Linked DNA regions of Mytilus edulis. The protein of the gene in region 1 binds, or shares a complex with, the protein of each later gene. Links are inferred from orthologs where the notes say so. Each region holds a gene or a part of one and is shown on either strand. Other genes may lie near its edges.

Region 1 (7,946 bases):
CCAGTGTACATTCCTTCGGCTGCTACAAAGGTCTCCATTCTTTGTTTAAATCTATATGGATCTCTGAATACCACTTTAGCAAGAGGAGCACCACGACCAGAGTCATGTATAATGTCCTAAAATACATAAAATCTTTGTATTTTTTTTAAAAGGCACATGTACAATGTAGGTTTATGGTACACAATAAGTGCTAAACAAGGAGATTCCCAAATACAAAAATTTAAAGCAAAATCAAAGGGTTTTAAAACATCAATTTAAACACTGCTACTATTTCTGCTAAACCATAAAACTACTGTTTCTTTCATCAGTCAGGGTAGCTGCGGAATCATATCTCTTAGGTCCTTATGTTATTTTTTGACTATTTGCGGACCATAGAGCTACGGATTTTTCCTATTTCAAAACGTTCGGAATTGTGACCAGGTTCAGGTCGCACTTATTTCTCAAAAAAATATTGTTTATAATCCATGCAAAACTTGTCAATATATATAGTTCGTTTTTGTTAGATATTTTTCTAGGATATGACGTACCTATTTATGTTTGAATATTCATTTCCTTAACACTATTATCTAATTATTTCCATTTGTATACATTCTCCGCCTATTTTATTCCGCCATATTGAATTTCGTCGTGACGTCACGAGGATCAAGAAAAGATAACTATTTAACTTCTCAAATTTCTTGTTTCAGTGATTTTGAAAAGTCTGTGTGAAAATTTTAAATATTTCACAGCCAATATCACTCAAAGAAGTGATTTTGAAATCACTTGTTTCAGTAGTACCCCTGAATGTTCATTACGTCTCTGTCAAATTGATATAAAATTTGAAAGTCTCTGCTAATTATGCATAGATGCCAACCCCCTTTTGACACAATCAGTAACAAACTATCAAATTTTCCGTATTTTTGAAAAGTTTTGAGTAATCATTCATAAACGTGCATTTACCAATAAAAATTACTGACGAGTTGCAAAGTGATGTACACTAAAATTTGTCATTTAACATGTTGTCTGTAGTATGTATTCCATTCATTAATTGTTCAGATGTTCTCGACTCAAACATTTTTGTTTTGTCAAGGAGAAGTAGAGAAAGGAGGAAAGCTGCTTAATAAAATGCAAGTTTGCCTCTTCGGAAGTCAGTCAGTTACCCAACAATAGGTTGATAACTCCCGAGAAACCGGAAGCATTACATTGGCGTTTCCTAAATACTGGACCAGGACGGAAAAGTAATGATAAAAATCCGTGTTTTACAAAATTGAACGTCGATGATTGGGAATCCGTAACTATTCGACTTTGACCGTAATAGCGTAGTTTTTATCGCAAAATCAGAAAAACTACGGAAAAATCGTAATGGTTGGCATCTATGGTTATGCTTTTATAGATTAATAAAAAAAAAATATGTATGCACTGTAGCTCTCTTCATCTTAAAAATTGACTAATAAGCACATTTGTATAAATTAGTATCAAAACTGGTAAGGCACCTTAAATTTCTGGTGGAACCCAATAATCTTTGGGAGAAAAAAAAATAAAGTCGAGTCCCTGCATTCATTCATGGTGTATTCAATCACATTATAATAGCAATAACAGATATTTTACAACTTTGAGCCTAGAGTTGAATAACTGCATTCTAAAATTAATATTACTTATACCTTGATACATCCTTTTATGTAACCATGTCTCTCAGCAAAATCAACTGGTCTAAAAGCTGCTCTACCCTTTTTGTTTCTTGTGCGGGCCTTGAAAACACTTCCAGGCCCTTTTCTCTGGGACCTAATTACTCTTCCCATTATCTGAAAACAAGCAAACTTTTATCATCAATGATTCCTCGGACATGAAATTGTTCAATTGAGCATGACAACCTTGAAAATTATACATATCCATATAAAACTGCAGCATGGTCATCATTGAAGGTAAGATTTTTATACAAGGCAAATATGTTCTTTTCAATTTTTACCTGCTTCAAGTATATGACAGTAAATAGTCGGGGACACCAAACTACACAACTACTTAGGCTACTGTCTTAGGCCATCTTGTCAATCCTTGAAATAAACTTGGTATAAAAGATTACCTATTAACCTGTGTAATTATAAATAATTTACTAATTATGCGGTTAGTCAGTCTTCACGCTGAACTGCTAAATCTACAGGCCCGCAGCTCAATTTTTGAAATTTTTTAGTTAGATTCTGTTGGCCTGTAGGTCTGATTTTTATAGGCCCGAGAGCAATTTTACCAGCCTGGGCTGCCACTCGTGGAGAAGACTGGGTTAGTTTCTCAATAGGACTACTTCACATTTTACATGCCATGGCCTATTTAAGTCCAGTATTACTATGCACTCCAAGGCACTAAAGAATACTTGAATCCAATGGCTGTTTAGCCAGACAAGCTAGGGCCGCGTCTGACAATGGACATCACAGGACTTTACACGGATAGTAAACAGTATGGGCATGAAATGTAATTGTTTTTGAAGCCTGAAAGGTTGCTTACAATTGCTCGATTGTGCCTGCCACTTCTCCATACCCAATAGTGACTAACGGTGCAGATTGCTGTCAAAAAGGAGGATTCTGATGCAGCAATGGGGATTTAATATTCATCAGCTTTTAAAAGTTAAAATCGACAGTAACCTACCTACTACCGTTGTAATAATATGCAATCTTAATACTTCGTTCAGAAGAAAAGCTTGGTACTATTTCGGTGAACCATTAAAGCACACATAAATACATAAATCGTCAGTAACACATATATCATGATTGCCCTAACAGAGGACCTGCATGGTTTTTGGTTAGAAATGTATATAAATTACTTGGGTTTTATCTAATTTTTAAAAAGAAGACATATAATTTGAATGTATAATGGTGACAAACTATGTTTTATGAGGCAAAATTCAAAAGATTAAGATGGATTTCTAGCGATAATATTTCACTCACGGGTATCTAGTAAAAATATAGACCGGAAAAGGAAGTTGATGGTGACTGGTTTTTCAAAAACATTTTTACACCCAAGGTACCAGATCATTTTCACTAAGTACCAGCAATATTAAATTGGAAAGCAAAGACAACAATGAACATTTTAATAAATCAAACGGAGAGTGTTTAGTAATTTTTATGTTCGCTGGCCTGTCACGGAATAAAAGTTCCTTTATAATAAAAGTTACAAATGGAATAAATATCACAGTAAATGTTCCTAACGGAATAAATGGTATAAGATATCTGATAAGACAGGGACTTTCTATACTAGTTAGTATAGAAAGTCCACAGCGGCACTTGTTTCAGAATTTTTTTCCCTATATATTTTAAAATAACACAAGGTACTTAACTTGCATTTTAGAAAAATATCAGGTGGTGACGAAATTCCGTTATATGCCGCTTTCTAGACTGTCAACCCCACTAACACTTGTTATATCGTAAATCTAAATTGATTTATCTTTACAATGGTGTATAACACGACTACATTTGTTGTCGGAATCATCCGTAGCTATCCTACCCAAGTATGTCAATCATATACATATACATATAACGGAATTTCGTCACCGCCTGACATAATAACATATATACAATGAAGGAGTGACAGTGGATAATTATGAGTAAAATATATAAAAATTAAAGAGAAGCATATAAATTATTGCAGAAATCAAGTACCTTTTAATAATGAGTTTCTCAACAAGCAGTCATTCAAATAGTTGACAACAATTTTAAATATTGTTGGGAAATTACTATTTAAAATTGATAGAAGCAAGTTATATGATAAAGAAAGTAATTTGATGTTCAATAGAACATTATTTCATTTTTTATAAGGTTATCTCTAACATAGTTATAGGATGAACATTTTAAAAGAAAGTGTAGTTCATCTTCAATGTCTCCATTGTTGCAGCAAAGACATACCCTACTCTGCTTAACCTTTGGTATTTTTAGATACCGCCCTCTTTCAATAGATAAAGTACGAGCAGTTAACATTTGGATTTGCATTGATCAACATACAAGGGTTTTTTATTTGGTTTATTTAATAATATTTGTTCCAACAGGAACAGATATTATGACATTGTTTATAATAAAGTTTCCATGCAGTGGAACTTCTGTTAGGCGGAACACATATACGTTGAAAGGCCAAGGGTTATGATTCAGTCCCCTAATCTCCACGTGGCATCACTGATAACAAAATAAAATGAAGAGTCATGTTACCATACAGTACATATGTATCTGGTGTTACCTTGATGTGCCGGACGCAAAATTCAGCGACTCTTTTCCGTGAAAAAAAAATCAACATGGGCTTAAAATTAAATGTTATCGTAACCTAAACCAGTGACAGTCTACAGTCCCTGGTAATACTGAAATGTGTATGACTAACGTGTACTTCATGTTACACTTAAGATTTCAAGATCTCATTCTGGCCCGTCTTCTAGTACGTTAATTTTTGATAACACAGCCAATTTTACGACCGCACCACTTTGGAAAGGGTTTTACAACGGTAGTGAAGGAGACCTTTTCTCTGGGATTAACTTTTCATGAAATATAAAATAGTGGCGGATCCTGGAGGAGCCAGGAGGGTTCCTGGGATTGAAACCTCCCGGGCTCTTTTTTTATGCCGGACGATCAATGCATTTGAATGGGACATTATTTATCCTGGGTTGGGAACCCCTTTTGAAAATGGCTGGATCCGCCCCTGGAAAAGTATTGATGGGATTTACCTTTTTCTTCGTTTTGATTCCAGGCTTTTATTGAGTTCTAGAGCAACGTCCCTTGGTGAACCTTGCACAGAAGCAATGAGTATCACGTGTATAACCACTATCGCGGACAATCTTGTTATATAATATTTGTAGCTTGTTCTGTTTCCTGTTAACTTAAACATTATTCTTGATAGAATTGACATTACTTCACCAAACACTACTTTATTGCTCATATTTTACTTTATGTTTTATTATATTGTGTATATAGAACTGGCAGGCATTTTTTTAACAGATACCATTTTTGTTCGCTTATTGTTGTATTACGGTGTTCATGCCAGTATCTTGTCTGACAAGGACCGACACGATTGATAACATACAATATTGTTTAATATGTCTTTCGTCTATATATATGTAGGACTCTAAAGTGCGATGGTACTCTAAAGTGCGATGGTCACGCTAAAGTGCGATGGTATACGCTAAAGTGCGATGGTGTTTCACGCTAAAGTACGATGGATGATTGTTTGCTAAAGTACGATGGTATAGCACAAGGAGAAAACGTAATCAGAAAATCATAAAACTAGAGGCTCTAAAGAGCCTGTGTCGCTCCCCTAGGTCTTGTGCATATTAAACAATGGACACATGCAGATACATTCATGACATAATTGTGTTTTGGTGATGGTGATGTGTTTGTAGATCTTACTTTACTGAACATTCTTGTTGCTACAATTATCTCTATCTATAATGAACTTGGCCCAGTAATTACAGTGGAAAATATTTTCTAAAAATTTACAAAAATTTATGAAAAATGTTAAAAATTAACTATAAAGGGCAATAACTCCTTAAGGGGTCAATTGACTATTTTGGTCATGTAAACTTATTTGTAGATCTTATTTTGCTGAACGTTATTGCTGTATACAGTTTATCTCAATCTATAATAATATTCAAGATAATAACAAAAAACGGCAAAATTTCCTTAAAATTACCAATTCAGGACAGTAACCTAACAACGGGTTGTTCGATCCATGTGAAAATATCAGGGCAGATAGATCTTGACCTGATTAACAATTAAACCCTGTCAGATTTTCTCTTAATGCTTCGGTTTTTGAGTTATAAGCCAAAAACTGCATTTTACCCCTATGTTCTATTATTAGCCGTGGTAGCCATTTTGGTTGGATGGTCGGGTCACCGAACACATTTTTTAAACTAGATACCCCAAAGATGATTGTGGCCAAGTTTGAATTAATTCTGCCCAGTAGTTTCAGAGGAGAAGATTTTTGTAAAAGATTACTAAAATTTACGAAAAATTGTTAAAAATTGACTATAAAGGACAATAACTCCTAAAGGGGTCCACTGACCATTTCAATCGTGATGACTTATTTGTAAATCTTACTTTGCTGAACATTATTGCTGTTTACAGTTTATCTCTATCTATATTAATATTCAAGATAATAACCAAAACCAGCAAAATTTCCTTAAAATTACCAATTCAGGGACAGCAACCCAAAAATGGGTTGTCTGATTCATCTGAAAATTTCAGGGCAGATAGATCTTGACCTGATAAACAATTTAACATATGTCAGATTTGCTCTAAATGCTTTAGTTTTTGAGTTATAAACCAAAATCTGCATTTTACCCCTATGTTCTATTTTTAGCCATGGCGGCCATCTTCTTTGATTGGCCAGGTCACGCCACACATTTTTTAAACTAGATACCCCAATGATGATTGTGGCCAAAAAAAAGACTGAACCTCTTCTGAAGATTATCTATAAAAGAAGCAATTCAGCCCCAGTCCCACTAGACCACGATCGCACCACGCTCACCGCGATTTAAAATGAATTCAGATCGTGGTGATGTCGCGGTATGAGCGGCATCAAAATGTAAATTTTCGTTGCTTTCACGATGCTACCACGTCCTTATCACGCTTTTACAACGATCCCGCTACGGTTATACCACGTTCTCACCGCGCTTATTCTTCGACCTCACTACGCTTATCTCTCTACGCTCATCACGTTCTCACCACGACCATGTCACGAGTTATCCGATTGCAACACGATCTTACCACGATTCTACTGCGATTATAGCACGTTCTTACCACGATTATACTACGTTCACACCGCGATCTTACTACGTTCTCAGCAATAACGTCAACATCGTGCTCCATATCAATACAGTTCCATTCCTTCTATTTCCGATTAATACGACGATCTGTGGAAATAATGCAAATTTTGATGATCGTAGTACGATCGTGTAGATCGCAGTAAGGTCGTATCACGGTCGTGGTGAGGTCTTCAAGATCGTGATGAGCGTTGTCAACTTTGAACATGTTCAAAACAATCGTGGTGCGGTCGTTGCGAAATCAGGTCGTAATAGAAGCGTAGTGAGCGCGCACTAAGGTCGTAGTAAGATCGCAAAGGTCGCTATACCATCGTAGCGGGAGCGTAGCGAAAGCATGATTCTATTCGGAGATATTGCAATACGATCATACAGCGACGTTATTACGACCTCACTACGACCATCACGTTCTCATCGCGACCTGTCTACGCTTCCGCTACGACTATACCACGCTGTTCATGATCATAGTACGATTCTAGCACGCCCTTGTCGTCCTCGTTGCGCTCTTCTTACGACCTGACTACGTTCATACTACGACCATCATTGTCATTGTCATATTTACATAAAATAAATTAAATCTCTGTCTTTGGTATGAAGCTTCCCGTTAACGATATAGATATAGGAAATTTACGAAACCAGATCGGGGAAATGAAAACAAAATAACGAACACCATTCAGATCCCGTTACATATTTTTTTAATATCTCTCGGTAAAAAAACATTACTCATTGTTAAGTATTGTCATCCCTTTTCTGCCAAATTCTATGCATATCGGTCAACTTTGAAGCAAGATGTGTCGAAAAATCTGCAATTTCAATAACACATGTGGACACAAACATGATGGTAGTCTCACATATATCGAAAATCAGCTCAAATTCTGAAGGCGTATAGAAATAAAGTCCGTATTACTGTGATTTTCAACAATTTTCAAAGTCGTAAACCCTTCATTGAGGCAAAATTCAGTAGAGCGGAACTAAACTTAAACTTGACTTGTAACTCATCATGGTTAACTTATACATACCAAAAACCAGCCCAATATCTGAGGGCTTTTGTATAAAAAGTCTGTATAACTGTGATTTTCAACAATTTACCAAAGTCCAATCAAGGATTCAAATCCTTGGTCCAATTAAAGCCCGTAAATTCGGCAAAAATTATCGGAGCGGAACGAAACTAAACCTGATCTGT
Region 2 (7,767 bases), about 9.1 Mb from region 1:
GCTTTATGCTTATTTATGCTAAATATTTGTGTATAAATATAATTTCATACGTTTGAACGTAGTGAATTAGAGTGAAATTATTTTCGCTTGTCTTTTCATGATGTATCGGTGTCGTACTTATCATGTGGTCAGTTTCCCGCCGAAACGGGGGTTTTGGTCATTCAGCACAACAGCGCCAAAGCGAGAGGTTCTCTCTCATTTAACACTTGGTAAATTTTAATTTATTCAATTAGTCCCCCCTTTTTTAATCATTTATAAGATATATAGGATTGATAGGACTGGAGGGTTGTTTTTCTTTTTGGTATAATATTATATACATATGTGTTTTTGAATGTTCATGTGTAACATATTTAATAACACAGCAGCGGTGTTGTTGTGTAGTTTTGCACTTTAATTATGAGTTTTGTATTCTTTATACTTTCACAGTAAATGGTTTTTTAAAGGCATACATTATCATGGGGTGACGTACATGAGACTAGTATTATGTAGTGAAGTTTAATACAGAGTGAAGGTTGTATCAAGAGAACACAGTTACAGTTACATGTATATTTCATTCTATTCTACTATTCTAACAAGAGGCTGTCAAAACGACAGCAAACTGGATTTATTTACATTTATTTGTGTCCTGGCAATATCACAAGAACCATTACTGATGAATGGTGAAAGCGAAAATCATCAATATCAAATTTGACCTCCATTTTGTCATCAGTATCAACATTTTGAAATAATAATATTTGAAAAGCTTAGATTGAATGGTTCATGAGTAAATGCAACAACGTGAATGGAAACGCCATTTTACGATCTTTCAAGAACCATAACTCCTGAACGGTAAAAGTCAAAATCGTCATTATGGAACTTGACCTCTATTTTGTCATCAGTAACAACATATTAAAATTTCAAAAGCTTTGGTTGAATGGTTCATGAGAAAATGCACGAACACAACGGGAAACACCATTTTTCAATCTTTCAAGAGCCATAACTCCTGAACGGTAAAAGTCAAAATCGTCATTATTGAACTTGACCTCCATTTTGTCATCAGTAACAGCATATTAAAATTTCAGAAGCTTTGGTAGAACAGTTCATGCATAAATGCACGGACACGACTGGAAACTCCATTTTTTAATCTTTCAAGAACCATAACTCCTTAACGGTAAAAGTCAAAATCGTCATTATTGAACTTGACCTCCATTCTGTCCTCAGTAACAACATATTAAAATTTGGGAAGCTTTGGTAGAACAGTTCATGAGTAAATGCAAGGACACGACTGAAAACTCCTTTTTTCAATCTTTCAAGAACCATAACTCCTGAACGGTAAAAGTCAAAATCGTCATTATTGAACTTGACCTCCATTCTGTCCTCAGTAACAACATATTAAAATTTGGGAAGCTTTGGTAGAACAGTTCATGAGTAAATGCACGGACACGACTGAAAACTCCATTTTTCAATCTTTCAAGAACCATAACTCCTGAACGGTAAAAGTCAAAATCGCCATTATTGAACTTGACCTCCGTATAGTTGTCAGTAATAACATATTAAAATTTTAAAAGCTTTGGTTGAACGGTTCATGAGTTAATGCACGGACAACATTTGATTGCCGCCTTTCAAGAACCATAACTCCTGAACGGTAAAAGTCAAAATCGCCATTATTGAACTTGACCTTCGTATAGTTGTCAGTAATAACATATTAAAATTTTAAAAGCTTTAGTTGAACGGTTCATGAGTTAATGCACGGACAACATTTGATTGCCGCCCGCCCGCCCCACCCGCCCGCCCGCCGTACATCCCCAAATCAATAACCGACATTTTTGTCACAAAAATCCGGTTAATAATCAGTGATCTCAATGGATGAAAATTGAAAGATGGAGGAACTTTTACCATGACATCTTTTCGCATCTACATCATGTAGTATTTATTGAAGATGAATTAATAACAAGCGATTAGGAATGTTATTTTTCCCTCAATAATGTCTGTGTGTCTATAGATCGGTTACCATTCAAAAACATAGTTAGGTTAGTAGAAATCTCTGCAGCAGCACTACATGTTCAACACGGGAAAAAAAGGAAGTCCCTATAAAAAAAAATTTTAACAGCAGAAAACTGGGGTGTTCCCTGGAAACAAGAAATGCCCCCACTTTTCCTGACTAGTGTCAAACTGGTTGATGATACTAGGAAACAATTCTACTTATTTGGGTCAAAAAGGCTTCAAAAGCAACATAATTTCATAAATGGAACACGATTGTTTTTTTTTTTAATCTTGTTAAAAAAAAAGACCATTATTGATTATTCAGCATAACAGCAATTAGTACAAATAATTTTGACATCATCTTGAAAGGCTATTATATTTTTTTTCTTTGACGCCTTACATCGACGTCATAACACCAAACTCATATTTTCAGTTGGCCTTTGAGAGGAAATTTACTGCTTTATTAAATCAGATAAACGTTTTTAAAAAAGCAGTCGACAAGTTCCCGCCTCGGATGGAATTGTAACTTATTTTATTATTACTGTAGGGATTAATTGGAAATATTTTGCACAAACAAACACATAAAAGGTAAGAATTTTTATATATGCAAAAAAATTTAGCCTTCAATGAAAATTTTATGGCTAAATTGGGTCTCAAAGTTGAGGCATCACAGCAAAAATTTAAAATAGCCTTCCAAGACGTCATAATTATTTAGACTAAAAAGCAATATGAATAAGTATTGACAAAGTCTCCTGTGGACGAACTGGAAGTGGGACCGAAACGACCTGTGGACGAGCTGGTAATGTGGACGGAATGGTAGTGTGGCCGAGCTGGTAATGTGGCCGAAACGACCTGTGGACGAGGTGGTAATGTGGCCGAAACGACCTGTACGAAAGGCTCGTGTGGCTGAAACGTGTCGAAAGCGAGGATAAATTAGGTCTTTGATTTTGATGAATTCAATGACTGTAATCATAACACGTGTTTTATTACCTTACGTGAACGAAAAACAGAAAATGCAGACACTTTCTTCATTTTGAAATAGATATTATACTATGTTTAAATTTTCATTTCAACCCGCCATCCACATGGCTTTTTTGGAACGGAAGTTGTTACAAGGGTGAATCTATTATTTTGGGTGATATTTCTTTTCTTAAACCAACAACAATAAGCAATATTTTTGTATTGGAATTAAGTTTAACGTTTAAAATGAATGTAGCTTGGTACTATATAAATAATGAATATTTCTATGGAATTTTTGTGAGAGTTAGAAACATTTTTATTTTTAATATTGTAATCAAATCACCTATCAATAAAAGTAGAATCGTCTGTGGAAATCGGAAGTCAGTTACCGGAAGTTTTGATTTTTTCACATACCAAAATGAATGTCAAAAGCTAGTATTCGTCCAGAATTCTCACTTGAAATGTGACCTACACCTCTAAAAATTATCCTGTATCAGTAACTTTTAGGTGACGTCTCAATTGACCTGTTTGTCTTTGAAAAATTTGCTTTATTTGACTGTGTACTTCGTTTTAAAGTGAACTAGATAATTTGTGCGTATGATCACCATGGAAATTGTGTCAACTATCTGCAATTTCTGGTAATTAATTAAGTTTTATACAATAATGTAATAAGTAAGAAGTTTATTTCTAATTTATTATAGAATTGTTCTATATATAACATGTTTGACAACAAGGAAGGAGTTGATGGTTGATGTGGTCTGTTGGACTGTTGAATCCAAGTCCATGGACACTGAAATTCCCTTTGCCTGAATATGTAAAAGCTCTTTTGTTCCGACGTTGGAAAGTTCCAGGCGGAAAGAACAAACTAGCCGAAAAGTTCAGGGGGAACTTATTTAAAACTATAAAAAAGAAGATGTGGTATGATTGCCAATGAGACAACTATCCACAAAAGACCAAAATGACACAGACATTAACAACTATAGGTCACCGTATGGCCTTCAACAATGAGCAAAGCCCATACCGCATAGTCAGCTATAATAGGCCCAGATAAGAGTTACTTTGTTCTTCCTCTGGTTTAAAAGTTTCACTGGATCAAAGTGACTTTTTGAAAAGTTCCAACGGAACATATCAACTAGTTAGAAAGTTCCTTTTTGCCAAATTAGTCAAAACCGGAACTAACAAACTAGCCCAAAAGTTCCAACGGAACTTATCAACCAGTCACAAAGTTTCATTTGGAGAATACATACAAAGTAAAAGCGCAACATTTTATATTTGAACCTTTCAAAGGGGAACCAATATACTCTACTGATTACAAAAGTCAAAAGGAACTTATCAACTAGTCACAAAGTTCCTCTTTGGCAAATTAGTCAAAACAGGAACTAACAAACTAGCTCAAAAGTTCCTCCTCATGTGGGTAGTTTTAAAAATATCCTCAATTTAAGATTAATGTATAACAATAAATTAGAACTTATTCTGTTATGAAGGCAACATTCTGACTGAATTAACTAGTTGTTCTGTTCCGCCAGAACTATTCAACGAGCTACATTGTTCTGGGACTTTTCAACTAGCCACTTTTTTCCGGAACTTAGATTGCACTCGGAATAAAACAACTTGTTGAAAAGTTTCGCCGGAACAAAGTAACTGACGGAACATAGTGGCTGTTACAAATACACCTTATCGCTATTCCCGCTTGACCTGAGAATCTCATTCTGTCCCGCTTGAAGTTTTGATGTCATACAACAATCCCTTTTCCATTGTGGCATCAGATATTTTCTATTATGACGTCAATTTTTACGGGAACTTTTGTGATATTCAGTAATGGCGGACAAATAGCAATTGAAGGTGTATTGGCAATTTACGAAAGGATTGTCAAAATAGATGAAAGTATAAGCAATTTTTTTCTTCATCACTTAAATTTTAAAAGTAAAAAATAAAATTGTATGACATTTACCAGGCAACATATGATTACAGTGGAATCCTCTAGTCTACACGGCTTGGGATATCTAGCATTACAAGACCATATGATATTCGACATGTATATCAAATAAAATTATTTTTGTTATTTTATGAAGCATCAAAGTGATTGAAGTTGAAGAGCTCATGCTAAAAAATAATAATTGAAAACATCACATCATCAGATAAAAATGGTTGTCAAATTTTTATCTAATTGAAAAAATATATTGCAACCAATTCTTGACAGTCTGTTTCGTTCAAACTAAACTATATTTCAATAATTTCATTGTATAAAAACTTTTCTGTATTGTAAATGAGCTATTTTCCTAAGACATGCACAAAATCAAATGCATGACCAGATGAGTTTATCCCGGTAATTTTGTATGGTCCGGTATTTATACATATTGCATTTCACTAGTACTTGTTTTAATGATAAAATGTGGGAAACAAATTGTGTCATAATATTAATTACTGTATTTTACTGATAAATCCACTGATATTTTGTGAAATGATAAGAGCTGTATATATACATTTAGCATGTTTAGAGATATTTTACAATTTAATAGACAAATCAAAGAGTTTTCCCATACTGTTGAACCAATTGGTGTTTTTTTATACTAAGATGTAGTAATTAACTTATTCACATATATATTATTATATTCAGTATATATTAAATACATATATTATAATTTTAGGTTCAGTGACTGAATTATGTTATATTCAATTACAATAGTGTCAGTTTAAATCAGAGAAGGTTTATTGAAGAATTAACATAAAAATTAAAAGATGAATGGCCATAGTGATAATCCAGATTTAGAAGTAAGTTTAAATTGTAACTCCACTTTTTTATTCCATATTTAAAAGGCCTTTTAAATGGGGTTAAATGTGGACGAAAAGCACAAAAAAACCAAGCATGTTGGGTCATCATTCTTTTCTTCAATGATAAGGTCCCAATAGATACATGTACATGTACTAACAAAATAAAACCAGTTATAGATAGATATACTTGTATATTCTTTTCAAAATGAACCAGATAAAAAAGGATTATAGAAAGATGTGGTACGAGTGCCAATGAGACAACTCTCCACCCAAGCACACATACAAATTTGAAAATGAAATGTTTGTGCTGATTTTGAAATTTTCTTTTCCAGGACATGGATCTTCATTTAAATCTTGAATCACTGGATACAAACAAATCACATTCACATAATTTTGAAATGTCTGATGAATCATCAGAATGGGAAGACGACCCTATGTTGATGAACCAGGAAGTGAAAAAGGAAAAATTACCTGATGAACTGTCCATAAACTTACAAGGTTTAAGTGGTGCTGAGGGAAGTGACAATGACAAGCAGCATGGAGGACTTCTACCTTATGGTAATGTAATATTATTGCTATTTGGGGTATTTTTCCTTTAATCTGTTTAGTTATTCAGTTTTCATATATTGCTATTTTTTGGGGGATAAAATAAATTATAGTTAGTAACAAAATGCGCATGCATATGTGCCATTGTCATTGTAAAAATCAACAAGGTCATAGGCCAAATAGCGATAAACAGACAATCAATGGTCTTTCAAACTCAAAGATGTCGCCCATCAATACAATTTTAGCTGAGAAACATTTACATAAAGCCTGGGTATCTTTAGTGAGCAGTAGAGTAGATTTTACCTGTTATATCAGAAGTCAAGTTTGTGTATTGATTTCAGTAAAGTAGGATGATGCTCTCTGTCAAAATAATGTACATTCCATCACTTTAATTTTCTTTACATATTTTTGATTTTAACCACATATTATTATTGGGGTAAATATTGTTCTTTGAAAAATGATGATGATTATATTTGATGAATTGTAGAAGATGGTATTGATGTGGACAGTGATGAAGAAAAAGAAATAATGAAAGAAATAAAAGATGAGATTCAAAAACAGATCCGAGGGGAAATGAAATCTGAATTGGAATTGTACCAAGCCAAGGTGGCAGCCTTAGAAGCAGGTAGTTCTAGGGCAGAAGAGTCAGACAGGGATACAGGTCAAGAAGACATGGATCCTAAAATGAAAGAAGCCATTTTGAAAATGAGAAAGTTGGACAGAATTCTGTCCAAAAAGATAAAACGAGAGAGAGAAGTTAAAAAGGATAGAATGATATTGGAAAGGAGGTAAATAAGAATAAAGCTTGGTATGCACAAAATACTTAGAAAATTAGACTATCCATTGAACCTAAACTCACAATATTTAAGCATTAAACTCTAAAGCAACAATTATCTCCAGTCAATTTAAAATACCAGTCATTGTATCTCACTATCTGGTGAAAAATTTTGGTTGCTTACACACTCATGTTTGTCTTATAATCACATTAATGAATTAATATTTTTCTTTGTCCTACAAAGTCCCCATAGTAAAATACAATCTGTAAGATCGACTGATCCGTTATCATTTAAAAACAAGAAACTGTTTAGAAAATATCTGTGATAGACTGCATCCTTAGTTACATGTAACAAGAAAAATAGATAAAGTTAGGATCTCTTAGTTGAATGAATATATCAGTGTACATTACTTACAATGGGTTCTTGGTGCCAATTCATCAAATACTGACATGGTTATTGGTACTACCACTTAGGTGAAGATAGTTATGAGAATGTTTGTATATTTCAGGATAAAGTCTGAGTTAGAAGGTATCAACCAACAGAATCATGATGTCAAGTTAAACACAGAGAAATTTCTGGCTCTAACACTGCCACCTAGTCACAATGAAGGTATTGTATGTTCCTGTAACATAATATTAAATATTAGCAGTAACTGTATTCTTGGTACAGACTAAAATCTATCTACATTTATTAAAAGAGTGACTCTTTATTTACCCCCTCTCCCCAAAAAAAGAAGAATTTAGACAAACAC

What was found. The genes of interacting proteins can lie anywhere in the genome.
Region 2: the proteins of large ribosomal subunit protein uL2-like (region 1) and ribosomal oxygenase 1-like are in contact, whole or in part, in a crystal structure (PDB 4CCN), measured with the Homo sapiens proteins. The link is inferred for Mytilus edulis from reciprocal best matches to the Homo sapiens genes RPL8 and RIOX1. Residues at the interface, in NP_000964.1 of Homo sapiens: Gly213, Gly214, Asn215, His216, Gln217, His218, Ile219, Lys221, Pro222; in NP_078920.2 of Homo sapiens: Gly259, Gln260, Arg272, Thr274, Arg297, Met322, Ala323, Gly324, Ser325, Asn326, Tyr328, Phe337, His340, Asp342, Ile344, Ser374, Asn376, Thr419, Ser421, Thr422, Gln424, Tyr577.

The regions. Positions count from the first base shown.
Region 1 is NC_092346.1:81,980,492-81,988,437, reverse strand, and holds the start of large ribosomal subunit protein uL2-like, read right to left. Parts: upstream 3,018-7,946; 5' UTR 2,916-3,017; intron 1,782-2,915; 5' UTR 1,779-1,781; coding exon 1,641-1,778; intron 117-1,640; coding exon 1-116. UniProt on the Homo sapiens protein: Component of the large ribosomal subunit. The ribosome is a large ribonucleoprotein complex responsible for the synthesis of proteins in the cell.
Region 2 is NC_092346.1:91,075,189-91,082,955, forward strand, and holds the start of ribosomal oxygenase 1-like, read right to left. Parts: upstream 3,082-7,767; 5' UTR 2,995-3,081; coding exon 2,953-2,994; intron 1-2,952. Other genes in the region: myb-like protein X, read left to right, coding at 5,662-5,694, 6,027-6,252, 6,728-7,028, 7,525-7,625. UniProt on the Homo sapiens protein: Oxygenase that can act as both a histone lysine demethylase and a ribosomal histidine hydroxylase. Specifically demethylates 'Lys-4' (H3K4me) and 'Lys-36' (H3K36me) of histone H3, thereby playing a central role in histone code.